Oryzias latipes: one gene and its partners. Each later gene encodes a partner of the first gene's protein in a complex. Links are inferred from orthologs where the notes say so. Each region holds a gene or a part of one and is shown in the gene's direction. Other genes may lie near its edges.

Region 1 (4,271 bases):
TCTAAAAGTGGCAGAGAATGAGAGAGCTAAGATCCTGTGGGACTCCCAGATCCAAACTGACAAGATGGTCATGGAGAACCAACCAGACACTGTAGAGGTGGACAAAGAAAAGAGGAAAGTCTGGAAGAACTGGAGAAAGCTTTAAGGTTAATTTGACGGTGGTGCCTGTGGTTATCCGATCACTCAGGACAGTAACCCCTAAGGTGGAGGAGTGGCTGTAATGTTAGAAATGACCAGAAGAGTGGCTAAAGCAGATCCCTGGAGAAACATCTCAGTCCAGAAAGGTTCAGTCCTAGGAAAGATACTGCACAGAACCCTCAAGCTCCCAGGCCTCTAGTAGAGGACCCAAGCTTGGGTGAGAAACTTGCGGGGGTGTGAAAAGAGTGTTTAATTTATACCATGTAATTCCCCATTAACCCACATCAAATAAGGGGAAGTTGGATGCTTGCCTTGTCACCTAAACAGCAAGTCTCACTCAGCATGGGGGTTTCTTACCAAACTGCACAGAAACTTCGTACTTTCCCTTTTTCACTGCTTCTTGAAGTGAATTCATCAAATTGTGTTTGGTGGCTTCAACTTTTTTTCTAGTGGTTTACCTGTACTTTTCTGTATTTTTTTTAACCAAAGAAATGTCACTGAAGATTTGTTTGAACAAATGGATGTTTATTAAAACCCTATTTATGACTTCTGCCTAATACTATTCCCCTATTCCACATTGGTTATGTTTTGGAAGCTGTTTAAAATGTTTTATTTTTTATTTCATGTGACCAAATGTAAATATATCTAAAGTTGTATAGTTTGGATGCTGCGTGTCTGACAGGGCAGCCTCACAGCCGGCTGAACTTAAAATGACTCAGAACACACTGAAATTTGAACCACTGTCCCACCAACTTTTCAGAAGTTAAAGTGTGATCTTAAAGAAAACTGCATCCTTCATAATAAAAGCATAGACTAAAACCCACTTCAAAATATGTGGCATTTTGTATTCTTGCTCCAAACGTTGAAAAACAGAAAAAAAGCTAAATTTGAATAAATTAATCATATAAATGTCGCATTTGCTTTGAGACATAAGGGACACATTTATAAATGTTTTTTACTCATTTAGTTTCTTTTGTCGACAGTGTATTTTACTGATTTTAAACAGCATATTTGTAAGGGAAACCCCCCCTGGGAAGAAAAAAAAAACCTAGAGATTTGCTTAAAAGTCGCTTTTCGGGACTGCGTGGTTTTTTTTCTCTCTCTTTTTTTTTTCAAATCTACGTTTCAACACATACTGCATAAGTTACAAAAACATATCTTTCTTTAGCAATAACATCTTCGGGCTTGAGCTGTTAAGCATGTTGAAATTTTTCTGTTTAAGTGACAATGTTTTATATTTTTTTCCATAACGAAACTGAAACAGAACCTCTGGAATCTTCTCATTGAACCCCCACTTTCTTTGCGTAATCGACGATGCGCATGCGCATTGTCAAAGACTACGCTGTTCTTACTTCCTGACTTTGGGAGGTCACGCCAAAGGAATTCTTCTACGCCGATTTCCTTCACAGGGCGATCTCATCAAGGACCTTTTCAAACCACGAACCGAAGACCTCCCTACACGAGCAAAGAAATGCAAGTATTTTATGTTTTTAGAGCCGCTGGTAAAGTAATCGCGCGCTTAGCGAACAAGGCTAACTAGCTAGCTAGTCAAATGTTACATGAAATGTAAACAAACTATAGTTACAGCAAAGGTACGCACTTTTAAATAATAATTTGACTCCTTATGTAAGATTCCTTTATCCACTGTAAAACACCAGCAGTTGTCTTTTTTCTTTTATATTAATTTTTAATCCGTGATGTGTAGCCCTTTAAATGATGTGGGTGGAATCTTTGTGAACAGAGCAAAGTATGCAGTTGATAGTTCGTAGAAACACAACAATGACGGCATACGCATTTGTCGCTCACTGGGCGGTTAGAGATGTTAATTTCAGTTTTGCTGTCGCAAAGACAGCAAAACTGTCTTTGCGACAGCATATTTACTGTAGTAAATATGGCCGTTAGCTTTTGATTTGATCACTTGATCACTGAGGCAGAAAAACGTGACAGTGCAAAGATCACATGCAGTCCTCCACCACCAGCAGATAAAATCCCATGTCACAGCTAAATGTGCACCAAATAGTTCCACGTACAGCGTGTTTGTCAGAAGGAGTAATGCAGCATATGACTGTCCTAATGTGTGGCAACAATATCACACAAGAGTCTCAACCTCCTGTAGAAAACAGTGATTGTTTTTGACTGTGCTGCTAGTACATTTCTGGATAATCTAACAAACATATGTGGCAGATCGCTGAAACCTATTAACAGTGTTCCAACATTGTGTTTTGATGAATCAATGATCTGATTAGCTCTTTAAGAATGGTGAACAGTACATCTGCTACACCCTTTGGCATATAAGTTAACTACAGGAGCCGCCCTCGTGCCCATCCCTTGTGCCTTCACTAAAACATTCATTTTTTCAACTGATATCCATCTGGTTTCCTGAGTTACCGGCTTAAAAGAACTTTAAAGAGCCTAGCTATGTGGACAGATTATGACTATGAATGGAATGGACATTCCATACCATTCTATCTACACACACTCTCAAAAAATGTCCAACTGAAAGATATTTGACTTCTACTTTCTGTTTTTGACAAATAATTTCCTCTGGGAGGTGACTAGGCTTGAATAAAAGTCATCACACCTTTAGTATGTGTCATGAATAAGAATTGCATGAAACACAGGCGTGCTGATGCAATGTTTATTAGCACGATGTGATGTCAAAGGTGGACATAAAGATAGGGAAGCTGGTTAACTTCCAGAATACTTTATATTTTTGACAAATCTGAATGACTGAGGAGGACTGAAGCTAGCAGGAGAACATGGCAACAGAGAGCCCTCGGCAACATGGAGAGAAGCGGCGTTGCTCCATGCCAACAGTCCAGCCAACAACTCAGAGGCGAATTTCTAATGATCTACTGCTGCTCTGCAGAAAAATCTGGGCACTTTTTTGGACAAAAATGGCATAGTGGTAATTAGAAGACCCCTGGGAACACTTTAAAAATGGCTCAAAAGATGATCGGAGTAGGTCTTTAAGTAAAAAAAAAGAGATTCCCCCATGATCTATTATTCAAGGTTCTACACTTCTAACTCAAACCTTTTTCATGTTTCTTTTCTTTTAGATTTTGTGTTTACCGCCACAGCTACTTGTTTCAATGATGTGTGACCCCAGCCAAGATGGGAATTGGGAATCGGACTCCACAATTGATTACTCTAAGATAAACAATCGTCTGGAATCTTTCTACAACTCCAGCTGGAGCAAGAAGGTGTCACCGCTGCAACTGGCTGAAGCTGGCTTCCTCTTCACTGGAGTCTCTGACCGCGTACGCTGCTTCAGTTGCCAGAAAACGGTAGAAAACTGGTCCCAGGAAGATCAACCAGTGGACAGACACATACAGGTAATTGTTTATGTTGAAAAAAAAAATAGTTTAGAAATGTTGGGCAATTCTTTTTCAACTTTTTAAATAATAAAGTTCAACATTTTCCTTCCATGCAGGTTTCCCCATCGTGCACGTTTCTCCGCTGCACACACTTCAACCGTTTTAAGTCAAATCCCCATATGCCCCTCAGCAATGGGGGCCTTCATGATGGAACTGAAGGATATATAGATTACCAGTTGAGAACAAGAGCCATTGTTGATGAGACTCCATATCCACGGAACCGGAATATGAAAAGCGAAGAAGCCCGCCTGGAAACTTTCTCTTCGTGGCCGCGTTCTGCTCCAGTCAGACCTCGAGATTTGGCTCAGGCAGGTTTGTTCTACTTAGGAAAGGAGGATAAAGTGGAGTGTTTCAGTTGTGGAGGCAAGCTAAGTGGCTGGAAACCTGGGGACACCCCCTGGAACGAGCATGAAAAACATTTTTCCCACTGCTTCTACATCCTTGGTCATGACGTGGGAAATGTGCCTCTGGAAAGAGATGGAGGAGAAAATGAAGAGACTGGCAGCAGAAACCAACATCGCACACCTGTCAATTTGGAAAATCTTGACGAGCGACTCGGCACTTTTGCACGCGTCCAGCACCCGATTGACCACGAGCTGCTTGCTAAAGCTGGCTTCTACAGCAAAGGTAAAGCATGTTTGTTCAAACATCCCCTTTACAAATGAGATGTACCGGTAATATTTTAATTTTTCTAAATCTAAATGTTTGTTCATAATATTTTTTTATTATTATTCTAGGAGAAGGAGACGAAGTGAT
Region 2 (2,667 bases), on another chromosome or scaffold:
TTTGTTGTTTTTGAAGCTAAATGTAACATTTTAGGTTCATTGATGACTCTAAATTGTCCCTATTTGTGGATGTGAGAGTGTGTGCGTGTTGTTGTTGTGTGACTCTGCAACAGGCTGGTAAACTGTTCTGGATGAACCCAAAAATGTCTGGGATAGGCTCCAGCAACACTGTTACCATAAAAAGGATTAGGCAGGTTTGGAAAATGGATGGAGTTCAGTTATCAAGTCTGACTTGCAAATGTTCTGGGAGGAGCTACTATTGGACGTTCTCTTTTAGTTTAGTGCACAACAAATGTAGGTTATCAGATTGTCTCAAATGGCTCTGCTTTCTCCATTCTTTCAGCTGATTGCTCTCCTCCACTGCCGCACTCCCCCCCGCTGTCACAAGGCCCCATCAGCAGCTGGATCGCCATGCGGCGCGTGCAGATCGTCTCCCAGATGACGGAGGCCTGTCTCAACCAAAGCTTGGACGCGCTGCTGGCTCGCTCCATGCTGATGCGCGAGGACTACGAGCTGGTGGTCAACCAGCCGACGCGCACCGCCAAAGTCCGCCAGCTGCTGGACAACTGCCACAAACACGACGAGGACTTCTGCCGCATTGTCGTCCGCAAGCTGTTCGACAACAAGCAAATGGGCCTGAACCCGTACCCCACAGACATCAGCTGTCCCACCTCTGCAGCTGCTGTGCCAAGCGCTCCATCTCTGCCCACCTCCTGCAACATCCCCAGAAACTTTTAGCAGAGGTGGCAGCAAATCAGAGGACCGATGATGGCGTCGTCGCACCACAGCTGACCCTTCCTGGTTCTGTTGTCGTTAGCAATAAAGGTGTAGGTTTTGTCCTTCCGTAAAAATCAAAAGATACAGAATGAGTTGATGATCTTAAATTGTTATGGATTTTGTATTTATACTCCATTTTTTTTTTATTTCCTTGTGTTTTCTCTTATTAAGGCCCATCTTTTTAGATACTCGTGTGCATTTGCCTAAAGGAAGCGCCATGGAGACTGTTACTTTGCTGGCAAACCTGCAGTAAAGAAAAGACCCCAGACAGAGTACAATCTCAAGGCAGCACTTTCCCATGAGTTCACATGAACATTTATAAAACCTCCCTTTACCTGTAAAGTGCACAGTTTGCATTAGAAAATATATCATATTGGTGCAAATTCAATTTTACTGAAGAGAAGACGATTAGTGTGTTCACAAGAATCTCAAGAATATGACAAAAATGTTTGGGGGTTTTTGTGTCAAAGTTAAGCAGCTCACAATAACTACTGTATTTATTACGAAGTAACCTCTCAGTATTTCTATTCATGCTCACATTTTGAGGCTTGACACCCACCCAGATACTTTAGAGCCCTCTTTCTTCCAGAAACTTTTCGTTATTAATCGGCTCTAACTTTTTGGAAGTTGCCAAAACTGCTTTTCTTGTAGCAAACTTTCCTGGAATTGTAATCCAATCATCTTGAAGTTTTGTTTTCCATTATAACAAGAACAACTCCTTTTTAATAAAACAGTGATGGCTTCCATAAAGAAGAACAGTTAAGAGAGTAGCACCAGTATCTGTACAGATAATACACTTTTTGATGTCTATTTTAAGATGTAGCAAAGGAAAACAAAGTTACAGCATTAGGAAAAGAGTTTTGGTTTAATGGAATAGTAAGCAGAATAGGTTAGGTTTATTCTATTCATTGGCTGGCAAAGCAGTATATTTAACACTTTCAATGGAGGGCCTTACTGGTGTCTTCAATGCCTTTGCTTCTTAAAGGAGGTGCTTAAATTTCCAAACGGTAGCTTTTCTGTGTACAATGTTTTCCACCTTTGCCTTTTCCCAACGTGCTCAAATGTGGATTACTGGTTACTAAAGTGCACACTCTGACAAACGTCAGGTTTTCAGCCATCCGTAGTCCCTGAAATGACAACAGAAATTAGGCTTTTTGTGCTTCCAAGTGTTGGATGTGTCCTTAAACTCTGTGCCTCATTGTGACGGCCTTTGTATCTTGTATTATATTTTGTACTGTACCCACATTGTTGTACATCTTTATCTTTATGTGGTAGTTTAACACCTAAGATGTCTGTTGAGGTAAAGTTGCATTTTCTAGTGCGACCTTTTTTCAAATATTCTGTCACTTCTTCCATTAAATGGGAATCGATCACTTTGTAATTTCTGCAATTCTTTTTTTTCTTTATCTGCAATAACAAATCAGGAATCATTAGGCTGCACCCATATGAACCCACTCACACCAGGGGCCTGCCTAAGTTCCCCTTTTTGGAAAAAAAAGGGCATGTTTTAGTGGAATGACTTGGAAGTAACAGAATATCTCCTTTGAAAATCATGTTTGAGTTTAGCAAATTAAAAAAAAGAAAAGTGGTGCTTTATTTGTTGTCCAGGATATACACTGGACCGTCATTTTGAAAAGCGGAAATCCAATACCCAATAATCCAATCTCAAACTTGGAGTCTTGTTTTTAACCCTTGTGCTATCCTAGGCACTTTAACATTGGGAGGTGGGTCATCTAGACCCACTAGACAGTGCGCTAAACCTTTTTTCTTCAGTGATTTGTGAACCTCACTGGTGTCCATGGATGACATTAAATCTTTCCACCTTTATCCACCTTTGTCATGGTAGGGAGAACACGTCAATGTATGGGTGGATTCATCTAAGATAGCACA
Region 3 (4,031 bases), on another chromosome or scaffold:
AGAGCAGTATGCTTGTTCTGTATTTAAAAAAAGAAGAGCTCTATGGTCTGTTGTTACTGTGGTAAGATATACGATGAGGTAGTCTAAGCCTCATCCTTTATTTTGCTTTCAGGGTAGGGAAATCTTTTTATTTTGGATAACAATACTAACTGCTAAAAGAGAAAAAAAAATTACCAAAGTATATAAACAAGTATATACTTTATATTTTACATCTGTGTAGTTGAAAATGTGTGATGTTCCTCTGTGAAATCTGTTTAGAAATACAATGACTGAAAAAAAAGAGTAATGTGTTCAAATGTTTGTTTTTGATGTTTCAGTTTTAACCAACAGAAATAAAGAAAGACGATGTAGACAAGTGATTGTCCTTCTGTGTGTTTACTTCCCATGGCGTACTTTGTTATTTTTTCAAATAAATTTGAAAAAATAACCATCAATTAAACTGCAGCAAATCTATGTATAAGTTAGTAAATAAATTAAGTTTACAAAAGGAAAGTTTGACAAGTAAGCATTAATGCCAGTGTTTACTTTTTTTTAATAAACCTTTTAGGCTTTTGTCTTTTTGATTATCTAAAAATAGTACAGATAATCTTTTGAATATTTTGCTAATTTCAAAGTACTTTAGTGAAAATTTTTGCCCATAGGCCTATGTTGTACAGACATGTGTTGGCTACCTGTTAATATATTTTGAATAGCCCCAGTAAATAATATATATCAATGAATGTAAAAAGATAAAACGATTGCCCTTGCGCACGCGCAAGCGACACATGAATCCAAGACGGTTTTCTCAAATGTAATTCACACAGGATCCACAGGGGGGCAACATGACCAAAGAAACCGAATGAAGCCAAAGAAGGCGTTTGTAAAGATACGTTCACATGATGTAGGACAATCCACTAACCTACACTAATGCAATACCTTATAAGTAAAGCAAATGCCGTATAAGTAAAGCAAAAGTAAAATAAAAAAAGGAAAACACTTTTTAAAATCGAAACATCTATCATTCTGGTCGTATATGGTCAAAATTCGCGTTGTCTCCCCTTCTTTTATTGTAAATACCTGTAAATGAAACACACAAATAGTTCCTAATTCAGGTAAATTTACCTTGGAGAGTCATAACATGAAAGACTACCGAAATCTTGATTATTTTTAAAATTTTTGTCGTTGTTGCTTCAAAGTAGACCTTGAAACTTCAGATTTTATGGTTAAAATCAAAACAAAAAATAGAATTTACGATAGCAACCGTAAACGCACCGAGCCCCATCCAACATGGCGGCGCATCGCAGGACTTTGATGCAGAGTGTACGTTAAAAACTGCCCTAAATTACTTTTTTCGACTGATAATGCTCATGTTGGGTCATACATAACTGTTGCTTTTAGTGTGTTTGTTGTCATTTAATTTGCTGCGTGACTTTGTAACATTCGGTGTTTATTCTAACCTTAAAGCTGTGTCAAAAGTTAGCTACTTCAGATGAGCCAAGTGCTTTGCTAACCGCTAACTAGCTACATTTTCTAATTCTGTTGGGGACCTACAGTAACCAAGTTTATGTCTGTCATAGGAATATAGCAGACGGGATCAAATGTAGGAAATTGTTCTTGATTTTTAAGGAATTGTTGTTTTTAGGGCCTATCATTTTGCAATAGTAGTCCTTCCGAATACTAACTTAGCCCGGTTGTTTGGTCGTATGTTGTTTACATTCGGTTTCAGACTGAGTTATATTTCATTTTTTGTGAAATCTTTTGGGGGGAAAAACTAAAAAATATATAGTATAAGTATACCGAAAACAGCAAAAAAAGTTGACATTTATTTCGAAAATTGTTTATAGATAAACCCTACGATCTGAAAGCGTTTGTCTTTTTAAACTTTTGATGTCTGGAATTAATTGAATTTTTTTTTTTAAAGCTGTTAAATAGTTTTGAAGGCATGGTATTGGTATTGGTGCCAATATAATTTTGCATAGTTTTTATCATATAAACGTTGTAAAAGATGTATTGAATGAAGGTGAGCTTTTGAACACTTTTTCACAATTTTCTCCCAGCAGCATCAGAGTTGGACGGATGACCTGCCCCTCTGTCAGATGTGTGGGGTCGGCGCCGCCCCAAACTGTGTGTACGGCCCAGATGGCAAAGGGACTCAGAGCCACCCCATGGAGGACGGACACCTCAGACTGAGGTAAATAATCCCAGGAAAGAAAGGATCTTAAATTAGAAATGTTAAGAGCGAGAGAATAAACACTTTATTGAAAGTTCATATCTCCATTCTGAAGTCAGCTTCTTTTTTTGTCACTTCAGGTTTTGGCGCTAAGCTTTTTGTTTGAAATCTTATGATAATTACTAGGGACCTCCTACGTGATCAGAAGCTGGGCCTGCATAGTTTCAGACTCGATTGGAATCAGATGTTCCATCCAGATTTGGGATCATTATTATTATTATTTCTGCTATATCAATTACCACTATTTTATTACAATTACGCTATTTATTTTAAGCTTATTATTGTAGATAAATTCTCTTCTGGAAGTCTGCATATCATGAACACACCATGACATTTTGTTGCTGTAAAGCGCAGCAGAAAATGGCAGCAGTTTGAGCAGGAGACACAGACAAGCAGTTTCATAAAGGTAGAGAGATATTAACAACTTTAGTCTTCTAGGCTCAAAACTCTTAATAAACGATTTAAACTGACAGCAAGGTTGGGTTTTTGTTTCTTTTTAATGAGAGTGGTTCTGCCTATTTTGCTGACAGAGAGATTACAGTGAGACAGCTGCCAAGGGGCCGTCTACAAAGTGCAAGCCCTGGGAAAAAGGGATTTAAAAAGAATAAAAATGTATGCTTTCCAGAAAAACAACCAAAACAAATACCGTAAATTCCGGACTACAAAGCGCACCCGATTACAAGCCGCACCCACCCATTTTCACGTGTTTAATTAGTTTTATACATACACAAGCCGTGTCAGAGTTCAAGCCGCGCATGTGTTAGGCGATATTGTCATCCTGACAGATCAAGGCCAGCATCCCAGAGTGAGTGCAATTTATTAGCACATTGTGGGTGGCTCATGTATTTGAGTGTATCGATATCTGTCAAACAGCATGGACCTCTATTCTGTTCACAAGTTCCTCAGTTATGGTGTTTTTATTTCATTTTTTTTTTTACTTATTGACAATCTAGGTATCATACTTAAAATTACAAACAGTAACCATATAATCAACATTACATCCCTCAGTTATGAAGAGGAAATTTACATCCGCGATTCCACATTTCCCATGGGTCTTAGGGGCTAAAGGCGGGGCCAATGCCCGGCTCGCCATTCTGTTGTACGTGTTTAAGAATGAGCAAGTATCAGCAGTGCATGGAGGGGTGAACGGGTACAGCTCTCCTTCCGCTTGTGTCGCGGCAGCGTTATGGGAGTAACAGGGCTGGTTAAAAAACACACCGGTAAAATACAGCAGCGGGGACTGAAAAGCGCGCGCCTCAGCGTGATACGCGCGCCTCAGTGCGGCGCGTGCGGCAGAATTCAGAAGCCTCTGCACTCCGCGGACGCCTCTGCGCTCCGCTCCCGCGCGCTCCTTGTCTCCCCTTCCTATCTACTCCGACACCTCTGGCCAGGGCGGCTTCAAGGAGGAGCACTTCGTCCCCGTTGCGCCGGTGGATGGAGCAAATCGTTTCTGTGCAAAGCAATCGGACTGAATACTGTACGTTTTGTGTATGAGGGGCGGGTGCGTTGTTACGTGTGGGAGCCTTCAGACTGCCATCGGCCCCGCAGCTCAATCAGCAGGAGAAGATGTCTCCAGCTCACACGGAGGCTGTGAGTTTTTCAAAGCAAAATTCCGCTTTTACGGTTTCCTTAGAAACCGTAAATGGAGTGTAAATTCACTCCATGCGCTGTTCTCTCCGTCACGCAGCAAACCGGCTTTTCCAAACCCGTTGGTGACGGTGGACTTTTTTACGCTGCTTTTAACGATTGCTTTTAACTTGAAAGCTTCATCATATTGTAGCGGCGATCTGGTGCACGTTGGGTCTAATGGCACCAAAGGATT
Region 4 (4,166 bases), on another chromosome or scaffold:
ATATTAAACCTGTTGAGTGATTCTTCTTCTGTAATGTGCTGCATTTGTAGATTTTAACTAAGATGTGCCTCAATTTATAGCTGTGATACAAAGTGGATTAAATGAGATAAGGTAGCACTAAAGCAGTAAAAACTACATTTTGTTTGGCAATATGTCAGGAATTTAAAGCAGACAAAAACGTTTTTGTCCTAAATGCAAGTGCACTTGTACAAATAAGTCACTAAAAATTATAAGAAATAAGCAAATTCTTAATAAAATGGTGAAAAGATGGTCTAGAAATCAATCTAGAACACCAAAACAGTTGCATTTGAGTTCCCTCGTTTAATGTAACCTTTGCTTTTGTGTGCAGCAAAAAGTTTTTCATTTTAAACGGTATTTAATTTATTCCCAAGAGTTAGAATTGACATTTTTAATCTAACATTTACAGATTTTCACCGTGCTATACGGATGTTGTGTACTTTAAGATGTTGTAAATGTTGTTTTTGTCATAGCTCCTGGTTTTACGTTTGCGATCCCAAAAATGAATGTTTTCCTTTTTTTGTGGGTAGTTAATTCATTTTCACATATTATGGACTTGCAGAGATGTCACCTTGAATTATGCAGTAACTTTCTGTTCAAAGTTAGAGCAATAAAAGTGATCAACCTTTTAATTTTAGGAACTGAAATAGTGGTATCTTTAGGAGAGTTGACTATCGTTTCAAGCATTCACTTTTTTTTCTTGTTTCTTTCAGGTTGGGTTGTCTCAAGCCTGTTTGTGGTGTTCATTTTCCCAACAAACTATCCAATTACAATTTAAAATGGTTTATTAATTTTTAAAGGGAGGCCTTGCCTTTGTAATTTAATCAGTACAGACTGTTGGAGGAGAAAGATCACCTTGTGTGTTGTGTTTGTGTGTGGTAGCAGTAGTTGAGGGTTAAAGTATTATTTGGTTTTGTTGATAATGCCCTTGTATTTACTGTGTAAATAAAACTACAGTTATTTACAAAACTAGAAGGGTGTGTGCCATCATTTATTTATGTGTAAGATGAGTGTGTTTAAAAATGTTTTCTTAAGCTTAGGTTTAAGTACACTTTATGGTGTATTGTCTCTGCATATTATCCTGGAAAATAGTATCCTGGAATCAGTTTGTTTTTGGCAAGTAAATATCGAACCTTTTCCATTTGGGCAAATTCTAAACTGTAGACATATCAAATTCTTACTCGTTTTAAAATCTAATCTTTATTTAATTGTCTTTGGGGCATAGTTCCAATAGGGGGCGCCCGTGAGCTGATGGCGCGTCTGCGCATGTCAGAACCCTTTTGTTTATTAACCAGGTCGGTTCCTTAGCTAGCTGATGCTACAAGCTGTGAGAGCAGCGTAGTGTTGTCTTGTAAAGGACACCGCTGTGTTAGTTTACTACTGCACGACACACAGGGCGGTTCATTTAATTTATTACAGTCGTTCAACTTAACTTAGAGGAAAATATGGCGTCAAATCGACCAGGAGAGGATTCTACAGACGCAAGGAAAGACAATGGAGAACTGTGAGTCAATAATGTTTCTGTCACCTCTTATTTATGGACCTCGGTGAACTTGGAAACCCATTCACGTATTCGGACTTCCGGGAACAAATTATTTCGTAAACTTTTTTTTTTTTTAATTATCTCGTAAACTATACGTTTGTTTGCCGAACAAATGAGAAAAGTGTCAGTGTGTACACAGAGGCCTTTGGTGCATTTTGTTTTTGTTTTTCCATTTTATTCAGCAGATGTTTTAGAAAATACAGGAAATGATTGAGGTGAAGTACATGATTTGTATGCATGTGTGCTTGTTTTTAGCCTCTCTATAGCACTTTTCACCGCGTGAAACAAGAACAATACAAACCAACAAATGGATAAAATAAAATAAAAGAGCTTTTTTTTTTAAAGGAGAGTGTCTTCAACAGAAAATGGAGATATCTTTGGGGGTAAAAAACGAGGCCATGATTGTTTTAGGGCTGGGGAACTCCAGGCCTTAAGTGTCCGGGGTGTCTGCATGGTTTCCAGATAGCATTGCCATGATACTCACGGCTGATCACCTGGATCAGGTGTGTCCAGCCAATTGAAGCATGACAGAGCAAAATATGTAGGGAAACATGCAGGAATCCTGCTCTGCTGTACTCTGCAACATGACAGAAGAAAAGAGACAGTTACCTCCTAAAACAAACACTTTGTTCTTGCGGTATTCTTCCCAGAACTACAGATCAGTGAATTTTTATCTGACTTTTCTTGTTGATTTTCTTTTTATTATTATTATTAATATGTCTGTAATTTATGGTGCAGTAAGTCAGTAGAAGAGGACACTTCAAACAAAAATAATTTTTTTGAAGCCTATTAGTGCCTGTTTTTAAATGTAACATTTGAAAATAACTACCGTGTCTCTTGTGGCTTTGAACCCTCCACTTGTCCTTTTGATTGTTTCCTGTTTCGATTTATATCGTTTAGGTAAAGTTGATTTTGTGTTATGTTGTGTTGCAGGGCAGCAGGGGCTTCACCTGCTCCTGATCGCATGGACGTCGATGGGAAGCCCTCCTCTCACAGCTTTAGATACAGCCTCAACTTTCCCACCATCGGCCTCTGCATCATCATTAACAACAAGAATTTTGATCGAGGAACCGGTGATCCCTGTTTTTATTTCTATTTTCCTGTACTCTGGCATGGAAAATGATTCTATATTGAAGTGGTTATCCCAGCTCCTATTATTACAGGCTAAACTGAAGACTTGTCAGAAATAGTTTAGTTATCCAAGAAAATATATTTTCACAGATGTTGAGGAAAAACATACACTGTCAGTGATAAACATTAGTCTCTCACTTCTAAAATTTTGATGGTTTTGATTGGTTTGGCCCCTTTACTTTGTAACATTTGCTAATGAAATTAAGGCAAAGCAGAAATATAATGGAACCTTGTCTACCTTAAGTGTTTCATTTTTCTCTGTGGCCTGCCAGGATGAGCATGAAGCTTTAGATTTAATGTTTAGGTTCAGCTGTTTTATAAGACTGTACAAAACTATGGTGTAGTAATTCATAAACAGTCAAAAACGGATAATGTTCTGCTTTGTTAAATAGAATGTACAAATATTAAACAAAAAATAATCTATCAGGACTACAGTTCTTAAAATAACTTATCTGAAATGCAGCAGGAACCTAGTCAGACCTGCAGTAGCACATATACAACATATATTAAGCCTAAATGTGATTTAAAAAGCATGATTTATCCAGAACATACATTAAGAGATTCAGCTTTGCTCTGTGTATTCAACTTTTCAGTGTCCAGGAAGATGTTAGACAGTTTTGTAAAACATAATCATATATTTTTTTTTGTTTTGTTACAGCCTAGTTGTGACAAAAGAGCGTCTGATTAAGGCAAAAAAGTGACTTTTAATGCACAACAAGAGCTGTGGAAATAAATTTGCACATATTAAATCACTCTAATATGAGACCACTCATATTCGACCACTGTTTGAAGGTTTTTTAAGGAAATTTGTGCGGTTCAAATTCTTTTTTGTTTTGTTACTAAACCAATTGTTGCTGACTTTTTTTTTTACACCATTTTGTTCTGTTAGGTATGAATCAGCGAAACGGTACAGACATCGATGCAGCCTCTGCAATGAAAGTGTTTTCAAAGTTGGGCTATAGAGTGAAGATTTACAATGACCAGACAGTTAAACAGATTAAACAGCTTTTGACTGATGGTTAGTATGATTCACACTCTCTTCAAAATGCTACTTTTAAACATTCCAGTGCTTATTCATATAGATATTTATAATCCTTTTGGTATATTTTATTGCTTTGGATTTATTTTTGTTAGTATCAAGGATGGACCACAGTGACTCCGCCTCTTTCGTCTGCATCCTTTTGAGTCATGGCGACGAGGGCGTTTTCTTCGGCACGGATGGTTCGATAGAACTCAAAACTCTGACGTCCCTGTTCCGAGGGGATCACTGCAAATCACTGGTGGGAAAGCCCAAACTGTTTTTCATCCAGGTACGACCAAAGCCTCTCATTTGTTGCCCACCATCATTTTCCTATCAGTCTGTGAAAATGTTTGGTTTGGGTTTGTGGACACTGAAAGGCTTGCAGAGGCACCGAACTGGATGATGGCATTGAAGCAGATTCCAAAGAAGACACCACCAAGATCCCAGTGGAAG
Region 5 (2,840 bases), on another chromosome or scaffold:
ATGAAAACTGTATGAAGAACAGCTGTTTTTCCCGTTAAGTGAGTGTTTGTTTCCCTCTCCAGGCTTGTAGAGGCTCAGAATTCGATGAAGGCGTCCAGACAGATTCTGGTCCTCCAAACGACACCATTGAGACCGACGCCAATCCCAGTCACAAGATCCCCGTGGAGGCGGACTTCCTCTTTGCATACTCCACGGTGCCAGGTTGGTTTGATCTTTTTGTGCTCCATCTGGCTGTCGTTGTCTGAAAGTCACGTTGGGGGGGGGGGGGGGGGGGGCGCGCTGCAGTTGAACTCATGGACTGTCACTCATGCTGCTTCCGTAGGATACTACTCCTGGAGGAACCCCGGCCGCGGGTCCTGGTTTGTCCAGGCACTCTGCAATGTCCTCAACGAGTTCGGGAAGCAGCTGGAGATCATGCAGATCCTGACCCGGGTCAACTACATGGTGGCCAACAACTTTGAGTCATGGTCCGAGGACCCCCGCTACAGCGAGAAGAAGCAGATCCCCTGCGTGGTCTCCATGCTGACCAAAGAACTGTATTTCAATTGACCGTCCACCTGTACTGCATGGCGCACTCCCACTGACTGGCTGACAAGACTGACCGTTTCAGGGGCGGACTCTTTAATTGAAATATTCAGGGATAATGGGCCCAAAAACAAGCCCTCTGTGAGAAAATACGGTGGCGTTTGTTCATCCAAGGTGAAAGCTTTCCTTCAGGTTCCTCTTCAGACCAATGGCGTCACAATCGGTCCGATCTCTGTCGACGGGTGAAATATCCATGTTGTTCTGCCAGCCCATAAGATCCGCTGCCAGGTCTTGTGGCTTTGGGGGAATCATATCTGAGTATGCGTCATCTCCGTTTCATTCTTTTAACAGTTCTGTTCAATAAGACGTGACATTGTAGGCAAGCAAAATGCAACAAAAATCCCTAATTACAGGAAAATCACCGGAAGTTCAGTTGACATTAAAATGTTTTTGCGATTTGGGCTTCATCTCTGATGAGGAAAACCTCATTTCCTTCCAGAAAACTTTATTTTAGCTTTGATTATGTCAGTGGAGGGTTTGTCATCACACCAATTAAGATATTTTTCACTTCTGCTGCATAAGAAGTTGAAAAACTATAAAATGACTGTTGGCATTTAGCACAAAAGCAGGCGCTAAAACATTCAATTTCTTATTTTTAAATGAAATCTTTACAAACTGAAGTTATGGGAAATTACCTAATTGTTTAGAATGAAATTTGTGAACTTTGTGGGATTTCATATATGCCCAAATACAGCCCCCCCCCCCCCCCCCCCCAAAAAAAAAAAAAGTTCAATGCATTCATTTTATTTTGATAGAGCTAAAGAACAGGAAGTGCTACGATGAAACATACATCTCAAGTGTTCGTTCTTGTATCATAGACCGCAGAAATAGAAAGCCCAGCTGAGACCAAAAGCACAATTGCAGCATCATTTTGCCGTATATTAGTGTTGTAGTTTGTCTTTAGTGTACACTGCAGGTACAAACCAACAAAGCGCTCCAATTCGGAATTATTTAAAAGCCAAAGATACTAAAATAATGCTTTACATATTTAAGCACTTTGTGCACTTTGCTTAACTTAACACAAGTTTTAGGCTAAAGTTTTATCGATTTTTCTCATTTTTGAGCACTTTGGTTTACTTTTTCGCTGTAGGAAACTATGATAAACGACAAGTTTTAGGCTAGAATTGTATTGTATCTAATTGATAGTTAACATTTAAAAACAAAAGTTTAAGATTCTGCAGTTTTATTGTCCCAGTGTGTCAACCACAGAGGCAGCTATTACTGGCAGTGACAAGTCTGAACTTACCAAATCCATACTCCTCCTGCGATGTAGCTATTCTAAAAACAAAAACAAAAAATGCACGTATCAGTAGCCTGTTGGGGTATATCTTTAGTTTTTGTTTGCTTTCCACTTTTGACTGCTTTTATGTTTTTAGCAAGTAGTTTTAAACCATAATTTTGGTCATTTTTAATGAATAATTGCGCGACGAGCCGATTCTTGTCCAGTGCAGCCCCCTGAATTGTCTGGACACCAGAAGACGTTAGGGCTGACCTGAGCTTAAAAAAAAAAAGTTTGATTAACTTGTTTGGAATGGAATTGAAAGAGGAAATTAATTATTTTTTGTTGCAAAATTTTGAATGCTTTCTGCTGTTTCATGCTGTTGTCCTCAGGAATAAAAAAATGAATTAAGTCAATTAAAAAATGATGACTTTGACAGGAAAGCTTAAACTGGCCCAGTTTGTAAACTTTGGAACAAAAGTATGCTTATGTGAGCATTTCTTGTAATAAAAATACATTTATTACACAAAGGAATTGTTTCTTAAATCTTATTAAGTTGGAATATACAAAAAAACATTTCTATTTGGAAAGTTACCAAAATTGTTAAAATACAAATAAAAATATTGCAGTCGTTTTTTTTTTTATTTCCACTTGTTACAGATAAAAAAACTGTTGTTTTAAACAAATTAATTAGATCTACAAACCCTTTATTTATTTATTTATTTTTTTCATGAACCAAAGAGCAACAATGTGGTTCCAGAAGTTTTTGTTCGCTGTACTGGCTTTGTTAGTGTGTTGTTGTTGTTGTTGTTATTGATTGATTGCTGTACGAAACAAAAACTTGCACCACAACATTGCACTCATGATAACTGGGAAAGCCTCTTGGACCTGGAAATAACTGCAGATTTTACATAAAACTTCTCAGCTGCTTATCGTTCAAATCGTCAAGAATTTCATGCAGCCTGAACGTTTACTGTTCAAGACTGGAAAACAAATATTTTTCTGGGAAATTCTAGGTTTGAGAAAAAAAATCTGG

What was found.
Region 2: the proteins of E3 ubiquitin-protein ligase XIAP (region 1) and ripk2 are in contact, whole or in part, in a cryo-EM structure (PDB 8AZA), measured with the Homo sapiens proteins. The link is inferred for Oryzias latipes from reciprocal best matches to the Homo sapiens genes XIAP and RIPK2. Residues at the interface, in NP_001158.2 of Homo sapiens: Lys208, Asn209, Trp210, Glu211, Pro212, Cys213; in NP_003812.1 of Homo sapiens: His136, Asn137, Met138, Thr139, Pro141, Ile208, Asp278, Glu279, Arg280, Ser282, Lys285.
Region 3: the proteins of E3 ubiquitin-protein ligase XIAP (region 1) and tab1 are in contact, whole or in part, in a crystal structure (PDB 2POP), measured with the Homo sapiens proteins. The link is inferred for Oryzias latipes from reciprocal best matches to the Homo sapiens genes XIAP and TAB1. Residues at the interface, in NP_001158.2 of Homo sapiens: Phe33, Ala34, Ser38, Gly39, Pro41, Ser43, Ala44, Ser45, Thr46, Arg49, Tyr75, Ser78, Ala79, Val80, Gly81, Arg84, Phe92, Ile93, Gly95, Tyr97, Leu98; in NP_006107.1 of Homo sapiens: Glu99, Ala100, Arg103, Thr201, Gln202, Leu203, Glu212, Asp213, Phe216, Arg217, Gln220, Arg241, Glu269, Glu271, Ile272, His273, Ala275, Gln276, Pro277.
Region 4: the proteins of E3 ubiquitin-protein ligase XIAP (region 1) and caspase 3B are in contact, whole or in part, in a crystal structure (PDB 1I3O), measured with the Homo sapiens proteins. The link is inferred for Oryzias latipes from reciprocal best matches to the Homo sapiens genes XIAP and CASP3. Residues at the interface, in NP_001158.2 of Homo sapiens: Ala137, Leu140, Leu141, Gly144, Gln145, Val146, Val147, Asp148, Ile149, Ser150, Asp151, Thr152, Ile153, Tyr154, Asn226, Leu231, Gly232, Arg233, Asn234; in NP_001341706.1 of Homo sapiens: Tyr204, Trp206, Arg207, Asn208, Ser209, Lys210, Asp211, Trp214, Gln217, Lys242, Thr245, Glu246, Phe247, Glu248, Ser249, Phe250, Phe252, Thr255, Phe256.
Region 5: the proteins of E3 ubiquitin-protein ligase XIAP (region 1) and casp7 are in contact, whole or in part, in a crystal structure (PDB 1I51), measured with the Homo sapiens proteins. The link is inferred for Oryzias latipes from reciprocal best matches to the Homo sapiens genes XIAP and CASP7. Residues at the interface, in NP_001158.2 of Homo sapiens: His136, Ala137, Leu140, Leu141, Gly144, Gln145, Val146, Val147, Asp148, Ile149, Ser150, Asp151; in NP_001218.1 of Homo sapiens: Tyr230, Trp232, Arg233, Ser234, Pro235, Gly236, Arg237, Trp240, Glu274, Ser275, Gln276, Asp279, His281, Phe282.

What each region holds. Positions count from the first base shown.
Region 1 is NC_019868.2:22,022,642-22,026,912, forward strand, and holds the start of E3 ubiquitin-protein ligase XIAP, read left to right. Parts: upstream 1-1,460; 5' UTR 1,461-1,611; intron 1,612-3,197; 5' UTR 3,198-3,230; coding exon 3,231-3,473; intron 3,474-3,571; coding exon 3,572-4,142; intron 4,143-4,252; coding exon 4,253-4,271.
Region 2 is NC_019875.2:13,793,080-13,795,746, forward strand, and holds the end of ripk2 (receptor-interacting serine/threonine-protein kinase 2), read left to right. Parts: intron 1-343; coding exon 344-738; 3' UTR 739-2,158; downstream 2,159-2,667.
Region 3 is NC_019859.2:24,888,985-24,893,015, reverse strand, and holds the start of tab1 (TGF-beta-activated kinase 1 and MAP3K7-binding protein 1), read left to right. Parts: upstream 1-1,225; 5' UTR 1,226-1,266; coding exon 1,267-1,299; intron 1,300-2,036; coding exon 2,037-2,170; intron 2,171-4,031. UniProt on the Homo sapiens protein: Key adapter protein that plays an essential role in JNK and NF-kappa-B activation and proinflammatory cytokines production in response to stimulation with TLRs and cytokines.
Region 4 is NC_019859.2:19,919,058-19,923,223, reverse strand, and holds the start of caspase 3B, read left to right. Parts: upstream 1-1,362; 5' UTR 1,363-1,463; coding exon 1,464-1,522; intron 1,523-2,494; coding exon 2,495-2,634; intron 2,635-3,581; coding exon 3,582-3,710; intron 3,711-3,826; coding exon 3,827-4,002; intron 4,003-4,090; coding exon 4,091-4,166. UniProt on the Homo sapiens protein: Thiol protease that acts as a major effector caspase involved in the execution phase of apoptosis. Following cleavage and activation by initiator caspases (CASP8, CASP9 and/or CASP10), mediates execution of apoptosis by catalyzing cleavage of many proteins.
Region 5 is NC_019877.2:5,366,788-5,369,627, forward strand, and holds the end of casp7 (caspase-7), read left to right. Parts: intron 1-62; coding exon 63-201; intron 202-322; coding exon 323-549; 3' UTR 550-2,335; downstream 2,336-2,840. UniProt on the Homo sapiens protein: Thiol protease involved in different programmed cell death processes, such as apoptosis, pyroptosis or granzyme-mediated programmed cell death, by proteolytically cleaving target proteins.